Linked DNA regions of Macaca fascicularis. The protein of the gene in region 1 interacts with the protein of each later gene in a biochemical or structural test. Links are inferred from orthologs where the notes say so. Each region holds a gene or a part of one and is shown on either strand. Other genes may lie near its edges.

Region 1 (3,511 bases):
GGGGGTTGTAGGAGGTACAGATTCCCGGTGGCACCTCCGACTTTTTCTGCCTATGGTACCCAACGTGCCTCTCTTTAGGCGTTCCTGCACCATTGAGCTCATAGAGCGTTCATTATTAGCTAGAGGGTTACAGGGTCAGCTTTTGTGGGGGAAAGGAAATATGTGGGTGTCTGCCTGTTTTGGTTCCCCCTCCCCAAGATGTCAGCAGTTTAGTTTAAATGTTTTCTTCTAAGTTATAGGAATGATCTGCTTGGATGTAATGAATCCGGTATTTGTTTTCCAGGAATGTCACGGCCCAGAGTCATTTAGATTTAAAGGTCTGGAGCTGCCATACCTTGAGAAATGAACTGCTAGGCACCGCGTCTGTCAACCTCTCCAACGTCTTGAAGAACAATGGGGGCAAAAGTACGTATGATGAAGGGGGTGCCGACGTGATTCATTGATGGGGATGGGAGGACCTGGCACATCAACCTGGTGTTGCAGTTTCCCCCAGGACTGGGGCTGCGGTACCTCTGTTCTCCTTGGATGCTGAATTTGGAGTTTTAGGAAGGCTGAGGGCTCCTCTCTGCCTCCAGTGCAGAGTTTAGCCCTCTCTGTCCAGGGCCTGTAGCAATGGGATGCAGTGGTGTGTTGCCCTTGACCCTTCCTTAGGGACTGGAAACTTTCTGTCTGCCTTTGCTGCTCTTCCCGTTGCAGGAGATGTGTGATATGTTGAATGAAACTGTCAAATGCCTCTAGCCTAAATCATTGCTTTTCTAGCCTCAGCCCTAAAACAGAACAAAGGAGCTGTGTATATACGTATATGTGTGTGTGTGCGTGCCTGTGTGCGTGTGTGCACGTGTGTGTCTGGGATAGTTTTACAAATAGTGCCCTGTGCTTACTTGGCATTCAGTAAACATTTACTGGATGTTAGAACGTGATGGACGCGCCATCTGAATTAGCCAACGTGCCTCTACGTCACAGACATATAAATCCTCATCTATTTATTGCTGTTTGTGGTCAGTGGCATGGCCCATGGCTGTGGTATTGGACCCTCCTTCATAAGGCCTCTATTCAGAGTGGTACCATATGTGGCGAATGAATGGCATGTTAAGAAAGGCTCCTTTTTCTCTTGATGTCTAGAAAGTATTTTCTGAAAGTGGATGTAGCTTAAGAGAGAAGTGGGGGCAGGGAGCATTGCGTCCTAGCGAGCGTGTTGCATTCATTTAAGAGTCTTTCTTTTCTCTCCAAGCCTTTCCTTTTAAGCAATGGGCCACTTGAAAGGTCTTTGAGCCTCCTCTGGTCTTTTCTTTTCTGCTGGGCACATGGAGATGTGCTGAACCGATTCTGGCCCGAGGAACTGTTTAAAACCAGAGATGTGCCTCCACTTTAATCCTGCAGAGAACTCCCTGATTGCTTTGTCTTCTGAGTTGGTGTTTATTTTCCCAAACCCTAGCCAGCCTTTTGTAATTTGATCATCAGGGAGAATTCTATTTATTTCAGTATTTGGAAATCTACTTGTGGATAGCCTCACATTAGGATGCAACAACCAGCATGAGGGTCCTTTTTTCTTCTTCATTTGCCCAGCCAATATGCTTTTCCTTTCAGTTAGCAAAAGTCCTCGGAGAAATTGTGAGCTACAGAAAAGCACATGGATACACAAAGAAAACAAAATTTGCCCATAATCACAGTACCTAGTAATAGTTACGGTACTGTTTTTTCTTTTCTTTCTTTTCTTTTTTTTTTTTTTTTTTGAGATGGAGTCTTACTTTGTTGCCCAGGCTGGAGTGTAGTGGCACAATCTTGGCTTATTGCAACCTCCACCTCCCAGGTTCAAGCAATCCTACTACCTCAGCCTCCCAAGTAGCTGGGATTACAGCTGTGTGCCACCATTCCCAGCTAATTTTTGTATTTTTAGTAGACATGAGGGTTCACCATGTTGGCCAGGCTGGTCTTGAACTCCTGACCTCAGGTGATCCGCCTGCCTCGTCCTCCCAAAGTGTTGGGATTACAGGCGTGAGCCACTGTGCCCAGCCTGATAGTTATTCTTAATATTTTTTTAAAAGCAATTTTATGGCCGGGTGTGGTGGCTCATGCCTGTAATCCCAGTACTTTGGGAGGCTGAGGTGGGTGGATCACCTGAGGTCAGGAGTTTGTGACCAGCCTAGCCAACATGGCAAAACCCTGTTTCTACTTAAAAAAAATACAAAAATTACCCGGGGATGGTGGTGGGCTCTGTAATCCTGGCTACTCAGGATGCTGGGACAGGAGAATCGCTTGAACCTGGGGGGTGGAGGTTCCAGTGAGCCGAGATTGCACCATTGCACTCCACCCTGGGTGACAGAGCAAGTCTCAAAAAAAAAAAAAAAAAAAAAAAGAGGGATTTTACTTTAATTAATTAATTTTTATTTTTATATTTTATTTATTTATTTTTTGAGACAGGTTTCTCACTTTGTCACTCAGGCTGGAGTGCAGTGGTGCGATCTCGGCTCACTGCAGCCTCTGCTCCTGGGCTCAAGTGATCCACCCACCTCAGCCCTCGCCCCCTAGTAGCTGGGACTGCGGGCACACACCACCATGGCCTGGCTGTATTTCATATTTTTAATAGAGAGTAGGTCTCATTATGTTGCCAGGATGGTCTGGAACTCCTGAGCTCAAGTGATCCGCCTGCCTTGGCCTTCCAAAGTGCTGGGATTACAGATGTGAGCCACTGCGTCTGGCCAATTAATTAATTTTTTTTTTTTTTTTGAGACGGAGTCTCGCTCTGTCGCCCAGGCTGGAGTGCAGTGGCGTGATCTCGGCTCACTGCAAGCTCCACCTCCCGGGCTCACGCCATTCTCCTGCCTCAGCCTCCCGAGCAGCTGGGACTACAGGCGCCCGCCACCGCGCCCGGCTAATTTTTTGTATTTTTAGTAGAGACGGGGTTTCACCGTGGTCTCGATCTCCTGACCTTGTGATCCGCCCACCTCGGCCTCCCAAAGTGCTGGGATTACAGGCGTGAGCCACCGCGCCCGGCCCAATTAATTAATTTTTAAATTGAGATGGGATCTCGCTATATTGCTCAGGCTGGAGTGTAGTGGCTGTTTACAGGCATGGTCACAGCTCACTGTAGCCTCACACTCCCAGCCTCAAGCCATCTTTTGCCTCAGCCTCCGGAGTAGCTGGAACCACAGGCGTGCATCACTATTCCTGACTATTGTTAACATTTTGACGTATACATTTTTGAGCTTTTTATCTTTTAAATAATTTTTTCCCCTCAGATCCTTGTTCTGATCTTCTTTTATGTTTGTAGACATATATTGATGTTTATGACATCAGTGAAACTAAATTGAGGTTATACATGAATATATTTTGCAATATGCCTTTTTCTCTTTAAAAATGTATCAATATATCTTTGTTTTTATTTATTTATTTTCTGAGATGAAGTCTTGCTCTGTTGCCCAGGCTGAAGTGCAGTGGCGCGATCTTGGCTCACCACAACCTTCGCCTCCTGGGTTCAAGCGATTCTCCTGCCACAGCCTCCCGAGTAGCT
Region 2 (4,280 bases), on another chromosome or scaffold:
TCCCCGCCTGTTGTTGATGCAGCTGTGTGTACCCAGGACATAGCAATAATGCCACCAGCACAGTCCGAGGGCAGGGCCACCGCAGTCACGGGCACCACTCAGGGGAGGCTGGGTTGCCCTGTCCTCAGCATGGCCAGTTCTCCCGACCAAGCTTCAGGGCAACGAGCATGCGGGTGTCTGGGCAGCCACTCAGCCAGGTCAGAAGTCAGGTGGGGTCAAGACTCTGGGGGGCCGGGCACGGTGGCTCATGCCTGTAATCCCAGCACTTTGGGAGGCCGAGGCAGACGGATCACTTTGTTACTCCAAACTGCACCCTCCCCTTCCTTCCAAAACCTAACACACTTAAGGTCAGGAGTTCGAGACCAGCCTGGCCAACATGGTGAAACCCCATCTCTACTAAAAAGACACAATTAGCCGGGTGTGGTGGCGCACACCTGGAATCTCAGCTACTCGGGAGGCTGAGGCAGGAGGCTCCCTTGAACCCTGGAGGTGGAGGCTGCAGTGAGATTGTGCCACTGCGCTCCAGCCTGGGCGACAGGGCGAGACTGTCTCAAAAAAAAGACTTGGGTGGGACAGAGGTCAGGCTGGGAGGAGGGCACAGCCAGGCTCAGGCTCAGCTTGGGGTGGGGGCTCCGTGGGGCTGGCGCCTCTCCCGGGTCAGGTGCTGAGCCGATGCTGGCTGGGGGGAGCCTCTTTCCCAGTTTCTCTGGGGGGCAGGAGCACCTTGCCAACCTCTGATGGCTCCAGCACCTGCACCCGCCTCACACCACATGGTGACTTCAACGGGGGACCAGGAAAGCCCTCGCCCCCTCCCGCCCTCAGAGCCCTCCCCGACCTCGCCCACTTCTCAGAGCTCCCGCTGTCGGGGGAACCGAGGCAGCGCCGCGCCTGGAAGCCGGGTCTGCACACCCCGCCTCGCTCCCGCTCCTCCCCTCCGCGAGGCCAGCGCGCCCCAGGACAGACTCAGCGCCCGTCCCCTGTATAGACGGGGAAACGGAGGCGCGGACGCGGGGTCGCGCCGGGGGAACCGGCCCTGCCCCTCCGGCCCCGGTCAGGACCTCGCCCCGCGCCCCGTTCACCGCCCGCAGCCCCGCCCCACGCCGGGACGTCACAAAACGACCCCAAAGCTGGGGGACCGGGCCAGCCACGGCCAGAGCAGCCCTGCCCGCCTCCGTGCGCACAGCGTCCGCGGTACTGGTCGAGCTGGGGGCGACGGCGGCGGCCTCGGGGATCGGAAGCGCCCAGGGTTGCGCGCTCGAACCCTCCCTCCCGGCGGCGGCGCTCGGCGCGGTAGGCGGAACCGGGACCGGGACTCCACTTCCCGGCGTGCCCCGCGGGCGGGCGCGCAGGCGCAGGTCGGGCCTGGCCGCGGCGCGCAGGCGCAGTCGGGGCCGGGCGGAGCGCGCAGGCGCAGCGGGGGGCGGGGCGCGCGGGCCGGGCCAAGGCGAGCGCTGGTGGGGCGGCGGCGCCAGAGCTGGTGGAGCGCTCGGGGTCCCCGGGCGGCGGCGGCGGCGCAGAGGAGGAGGCAGGCGGCGGCCCCGGCGGCTCCCCCCCGGACGGCGCGCGGCCCGGCCCGTCTCGCGAGCTCGCGGTGGTCGCGCGGCCCCGCGCGGCGCCGACCCCGGGCCCCTCCGCCGCCGCCATGGCCCGGCCGCTAGTGCCCAGCTCGCAGAAGGCGCTGCTGCTGGAGCTCAAGGGGCTGCAGGAAGAGCCGGTCGAGGGCTTCCGCGTGACCCTGGTGGACGAGGGCGACCTGTACAACTGGGAGGTGGCCATCTTCGGACCCCCCAACACCTACTACGAGGGCGGCTACTTCAAGGTGAGCGCGGCGACCCCCGCCCGGGTCCCTGAGCCCACGAGCGACCTCGGGCGCCAGGAACCAGCTCCCTGCCCCGCGGTCCCCGGGCGGGCCCGGCAGCCTCCTGGCTTGGGCTCGCTTCCCTTCTATGGCCGGGTCTCCCCACCCAGCTGTGCCCGGCCCCCTCCTCGGACGGTCCCGGGGACCTTCAGCCTCTGCTGCGGTCCCCGAGAATTCTCAGTTTCCTTGAAGGCACCGTCCGGTCCCCGGGTAGTCTCCTGGCCCGCAGAAGGGTGGCCCGGGGCCCTCCCGGTATCATCTGCGCGTGGGGCTCTTGCCCACCTCCTTCCTGGGGGGGGCTCGACCCCGGCTGCCTCCCCCTCCGCCCTTGCGAGAAAGAGGGAGCGGAGCCCAGGCCGCCCCGGCCTTTCTGCTGCCCTCCCCGCCCTCCCCGGAGGAGACAAAGAGGCCCCCCCCAGACCCCGCAGCTGCTATTGTTGGGGAGCTGGGCCTGTGAGCGGGGGAGCGAGGCCAGCCTGGGGGTGGCTGGCGCGGCCACTCGCTCAGGCTCCAACAAAGGCCCGGATGAGCCTTGGCAGCCGGGCCCTGCCTGGAAAGCGGCCACCCTTGCCGATAGCAGCCGGCCAGGCGCCCTGGGCTCCATCCCCGGGTTTATGTAACCTGCGCCCTCGGGAAGGCTGAGGCAGGGGCGTCCCTCCCACCTGCTCCCTGCAGCTCTCCCCGGGCCCCCGGCTCCGGCCCGCGTCCCGGACCCCGACCTCAGAAGCTCCGGGCTGCTTCATCCCAGCTGGCCTTGGCCTTTCTCAGATTCCACTGAACAGGTGGCTTCCTGTGACCCCAACCCCGAGTTCTGGGCCATTCCTTCTGCCCTCTGGCGGTTTCATTCCAAGCAGGTTCTTGATGTTTTTGTTGCCGTTGGGAGCAGGGAGACTGTTTCTGTCCAGTGTGGAAAGGACTCAGGCCAAAGCCTGGCCAGTTTTCTTGATCTCACGATCCAGACGTGACCTTTGGCTCTTGTAGAGTTCCAGGACCTCGTCCTTGGGGCCAGAGGGACAAAGTGAGGGGCCCCGTGTGAGAGGTGGGGATCGCGCACCCTGTCCAGGAATCCCCCCTCCCGCTGTCGCTGCCTGCCAAGAGCCTGGGCACAGCCGGGCCTGCTCTGCCCCGGCCAGCTGCGGGCATGGGGCCGAGGGACCGATGCCTCTCAGAGCGTGTGCTCTCCGGGCTAATTAATGTCTGAACCGCGCGCGCTCAGCGGCTGTGAGGGCAGCAGCCTGGTCTGCTGGGGGCGATTCCTGAGCTGAGGTTCTGGGTTACGGCAGAGGGTGGGACGTCCGTGGGTTGTGCATCTGGAATCGTGGGTCCCCACACAGGGAACAGAGTTTGAGCCTTGAGGTTGTCAAATGGTTTTAGCAGCCCCCTCCCCCAGCCCCTTTTTTCTGCTTGGGGGAGCAGCTGGCTGTGAGCAGGGGCGGCCCCACCTCGAGGCCAGGCCTGTGAGGCGGCTGCTGTTCTGGAAGGAAGGGATGCGGGTTCCTGGCTCCTGCCCACCAGACCGGTTGCCAGGGATTGTGGGCAGAGCCTCCTGGACCAGCATTAGGGGATAATCCGGTTTTCCGGATTTCCTGGGGAGGGGGCCTCTAGACATCTGCCGCAGGGTCAGTCCTCAGAGGCCAGCGTTGAGACGCGGGGGGGTGCTGCCACCCACCGGGGCTCTCCCTTCCCCGTGTGCCTGGGAGGGAGTTGGGGGAGCGTGGAAATACAGGAGCTGCTGAGTGCCCAGGGCCACCGCTGCTGCCCAGCCACTGCCTGCAGCCGCTGTTCCTTCAGGAGCCAGAGCGAGCCCTGGGGCAGGGGCCACCAGAGAGAGCCCTCCACGGCGGACTTGCCGTGTGCCATCGGCGGGGGCTTTGCTTCTCGGAGCCTGGGTTTGCTCCGGGTAAAAGACATGTTTGGAGGTGCTGAAAATAAGAGGTTTGTTGGGACTTGGTGGGGTTCGGTGCAGGTGAGGCCGCCTGGAAACCCAGCACCAGGCTTGGGGGGCCCGGAGTCTTGGGGAACTGCTGGGCAGTTCTGAGCCTGAAGTTCCAGCCTTGCTCTGTGGCTGTGGCCAAGTCCCTTACCTCATGGGGCCCCAGTGAGTTCCCTGTCAAACAGAGGACACCCCCAAGACCCCTGAGAGCCCTCCCTGTCCAGGAAGGACCTCGCCAACAACTGCTCTTTGGGGGTGCTGCCCTCAGCCTCTTGGAGTGCTGAGTGCCACCAGGACCCCTGACCCAGACACCCCCGTGCCTGGCACTGGGGCCCAGGAAGGAAACAGTGAGGCTTCCTTGTTTACCTGTTGGGGCCCAGGAGGGCCGTGGGTGGCGTCACGCCCCAGGCCGCAGGCCAGACAGCTCTGTCACCGGGCACGTGGCTGCAGTCCTTCCTCTGTGGCCGTCCTTGCCAGCAGGCCTGGACC
Region 3 (3,949 bases), on another chromosome or scaffold:
CCAACTACTCCGGAAGCCGAAGTAGGAGAATCGCTTGAACTCAGGAGGCGGAGGTTGCAGTGAGCCGAGATTGCGCCACTGCACTCCAGCCTGGGCGACAGAGTGAGATTCCACCTCAAACAAACAAAAAACAACAAAAAACAAAACCACCCACCATTAGATCAAACAAACAATGGAAGCTCCTCATTAGACTGAAAGCTCCCAAGGAGAGAGCAAGCTGGCGCTCCCATTCCCCTGTGCCTCATCTGGCACAAAATTCGGCACGAAGCAATCTGCTCAGCCTGACAGATCCCAAAGCCCAGCCTTGGGGTCATCTCTCCAATGGGTTCCCTGTGGTGGACTGGACTTGCCCCTTCTTCTTGACCACGACATCAAACCATGAACACTTACTCTGATCAACACCATGTCCTGGCCACACACCACACACTGACACTTAGGCATTAACAAATACTGTCAACTAAATGAATAAACATATAAAGCATCAGACTCTCTGCCCTGGTTGTTTCTCTCTCTCTTTCCACACACACCCTTGCCGCCAAATTAGGACACCTTGTCTAATTAACCCATTAGCCTAATATGGTCATAAGAGCCAGGATATATATCAACTTAATCCATTTGCTGTCAATGTGACAACACAGCCCAGTCACTACCAATCTGTCTCAGCATCATGTAGGATTCTTCCCAACATAACACAATCTCAGCATAGCTCAGTCCACTCTTAAGACAAATTACTGTGTATCACCATAACCTTTATAGAGTAGTCAGCCTCAATACTAATGACAATTACCATTCACCAAGAATTCACCATGTACCACACACCTGAACTAACCATTTCATTCTGTGATTTTCTCCATGTCACAGACGAGATCAAGACACAAAATTTAAATTAATTGTCCAAGATTGCACTGCTGACAACTAGAAGAACCTTGACTTAAAGCCAAGATAACTCCCAAGATAGTATCACCCTTCCCATGTCAAACAATCTTTCTAGCTAGAGTCCAGTTTGTTCAGTTCTTCTAAAACCCATGCTATCTCAACTTAATCCAGCCTGCCTTCAAAAAAGCAGAGGTTGGGCTGGGCGCAGTGGCTCACGCCTGTAATCCCATCACTTTGGGAGGCCGAGGCGGTCCGATCATGAGGTCAGTAGATCGAGACCATCCTGGCTAACACGGTGAAACTCCGTCTCTACTAAAAAATACAAAAAATTAGCCAGGTGTGGTGGTGGGTGCCTGTAGTCCCAGCTAGTGGGGAGGCTGAGGCAGGAGAATGGCGTGAACCCGGGAGGCGGAGCTTGCAGTGAACCGAGAATCAGCCACTGCACTCCAGCCTGGGCGACAGAGCGAGACTCTTGTCTTTAAAAAAAAAAAAAAAAAAAAAAAGCAGAGGTTGAGGACCCAGAGAGGGCTCAGCCCCAAAGACCATAAACACAAAAGGGCTTTCTCTGCATTATTTACATGCCAATCTAGTCCAAGATAGCCCTGAATGTCCAAATTACCCTAGGATAGCCCAATCTATTCTAGCACAGCCTACAATGTCCCCACACGCAGCTGTCTGCACCAATATAGACTAGAATACCCCAATACAGCTACCTGTACTAGCATGGGCACCAACAGCCTTGTCTGCCCCCATACTGAGTGCTCCAATAAAACCATGTCTTGCCCCAAGATAAACCAGGATTAACCAATACAGCCCAGTAGAGTCCATAATGGCCCAAGTTTGTTTTGTTTTGTTTTTTGGTGTTTTTTTTTTTTTGGAGATGGAGTCTTGCACTGTCGTCCAGGCTGGAGTGCAGTGGCGCGATCTCGGCTCACTGCAACCTCCGCCTCCCAGGTTCAAGCGATTCTCCCTGCTTCAGCCTCCCAAGTAGCTGGGACTACAGGCGCCCGCCACCACGCCCGGCTAATTTTTTTGTATTTTTAGTTAGTACAGATGGGGCTTCACCGTGTTAGCCAGGATAGTCTCGATCTCCTGACTTCGTGATCCGCCCGCCTCGGCCTCCCAAAGTGCTGAGATTACAGGCGTTACAGGACTCCTGAGAACGTACTAAACGACCAGACGATAGATGAATTTACTCAGTACAGTCTAAAACACTCCAAAATAAACCAGTATGCCTCCACCTATTCCAGTAGAGCCTAATCGTCTCTAATCTGGTTTAGGATATCCTAGTCTGCCCGTGTGCCTCAATCTATCCAAGCATAACCTTGTCCATCCTGGGAGAGTCAACCTACCTCAGCATGGTACAATCTGCTCCACCACAGGCCAGAAAATCCTAGTGTGGCCCGAAGTAGATGTGTGCCCCTCCACGTCGCCCAATCCACTCTAGCAAAGCCCCCGTCGGTCCTATCTAGGCCTTGCGCTCACCCGAAATCCTGATCCATAGACTTGAAAAAGTACTTGGCGCCCGCGGGCCGCTGCAGGACGCTCTTGAAATCGCCGAGGGTGATGCGCTCGGCGGGGACAGGGATCTTCACCAGGTATGGAGTCTCTTCCTCATCCAGGTGGTAAATCACCTTCGTCTCCCCAACCCCACCGCCCCCAGCGCTGCTGCCCGCCATGGTCTCGCCCGCGCGCTCCCGGGCTCCACCGCCCACCCAAGGGGCTAATGGCCCCTGCCGCGCCTGCGCACACCCGCAAACCGACGAGCGAGCGCGGACAGGACGGACCCAGTACTGGAGAGAAGCAAAGGGAAAAAAGCAGGGGTCGGCAAGGGTGGCGGCGGGGGGCGGGCCGCGAGGTGCGACTCAAAGCCGCGGTCTCAGCGGCCGCCGCGCGCCACCGCCACCGACAACGCGAGCGTCCTCCAGGTCCCCGCCCACCTCTCCTCATGTCACGTGACCTAAGCCCGCCCACCCCGCGCTCTTCAGCCGCCCCCGTCACGTGACCCCTCCCAGTCACGTGACCGCGTGACTCCTCCTAGTGCCCCCGCCACGTGATCGCTGCCTTCGGCAACGGTCTCCCAGCCCCCAAAGGTGTACCCCAGCCGAGGTCCTCGGAGCACCCAGGATAAGCTGGCCTGTGCCCTCAGGAAGCGGACAGTCGGCTCCCACCCGGCTTTACCCCACACCGGCGGGAGCGCGAAGCAACTCTGACCCTCAGGAGTGTGCGTGCAGGGAGTGAAGGTGGGGATTGTGGGGGTTCCTAGACTCGAGTGGGGAGGGCCAAATACAATGAAAGCTCTGAGGTGGCTTACTCAAGTATCTTGGGGTGGGAGAGGCCCAGTGCTGTGCCATCTTCAGACTGGACTGTGAGAGGTGGCTTTCAGCACCACGTCCAGCTAGTCTTCAGCCACCAAAGCCTCCCTCCCAAGCAGGACAGTGAGGGCTATAAACACAAAAGAGCCCACTCTGCTTTATTTACAACACGCAGGCTGTCTGTACAAACAGCGGCCAATATTATTAAAAACAAAAGAGGTGAGTGAGAATCGTCACCTTTCTGCTTTCCTTCCTTGCTTGGCCAGGCTCTAGTACTCCACCTTTGAGCTGCCATGCCCAGTAGGGGAAGTCCAAAATTAAAAATACAACCGGTGTAGAAGAAAATAAATGGGGAGTGAAATAGAAGAAAAGATGAGGGAGGGGAGTGCTAATATTTACACTAGAGTTTTATAGACAACTGTCCCATTCCATCCCAATTCCAATCCTGACCCAGAAAGTGATGGTGGCAGGTCCAAGAGACAGAGATTATGTGTCTAGAGACACAGACAGCCTCCCACCCGCAACCGTAATGGGTTCAATTTCAAGTTCAGAGTGGGGAGGACGGATAGGGTAGGCAAGTGAGACACTCATTTTCAAACAAGTCTCCCTTGGGAATTCCTGCCTTGAAGTGCGGACAGTATCCAAGCTCCAGGGGGTAGGCTGAGGACCCTGAGGCTCAGTTCCCAAATCATGTTATCATTTGGAAGTTCCAGGCTAAAGTTGGTGCCGTCAGGGCTCTCCAGATTTGGGAGGCCCCC

Evidence for each region.
Region 2: the proteins of WWP2 (region 1) and CDC34 form a complex in vitro, tested with the Homo sapiens proteins (2 studies listed by BioGRID, with this or other methods). The link is inferred for Macaca fascicularis from reciprocal best matches to the Homo sapiens genes WWP2 and CDC34.
Region 3: the proteins of WWP2 (region 1) and DVL2 form a complex in vitro, tested with the Homo sapiens proteins (2 studies listed by BioGRID, with this or other methods). The link is inferred for Macaca fascicularis from reciprocal best matches to the Homo sapiens genes WWP2 and DVL2.

The regions. Positions count from the first base shown.
Region 1 is NC_088394.1:65,910,764-65,914,274, forward strand, and holds part of WWP2 (NEDD4-like E3 ubiquitin-protein ligase WWP2), read left to right. Parts: intron 1-283; coding exon 284-405; intron 406-3,511. UniProt on the Homo sapiens protein: E3 ubiquitin-protein ligase which accepts ubiquitin from an E2 ubiquitin-conjugating enzyme in the form of a thioester and then directly transfers the ubiquitin to targeted substrates.
Region 2 is NC_088393.1:1,084,402-1,088,681, forward strand, and holds the start of CDC34 (ubiquitin-conjugating enzyme E2 R1), read left to right. Parts: upstream 1-1,470; 5' UTR 1,471-1,642; coding exon 1,643-1,819; intron 1,820-4,280. UniProt on the Homo sapiens protein: E2 ubiquitin-conjugating enzyme that accepts ubiquitin from an E1 ubiquitin-activating protein, and catalyzes its covalent attachment to other proteins by an E3 ubiquitin-protein ligase complex. In vitro catalyzes 'Lys-48'-linked polyubiquitination.
Region 3 is NC_088390.1:7,281,072-7,285,020, forward strand, and holds the start of DVL2 (segment polarity protein dishevelled homolog DVL-2), read right to left. Parts: upstream 2,811-3,949; 5' UTR 2,556-2,810; coding exon 2,362-2,555; intron 1-2,361. Other genes in the region: PHF23 (PHD finger protein 23), read right to left, coding at 3,921-3,949.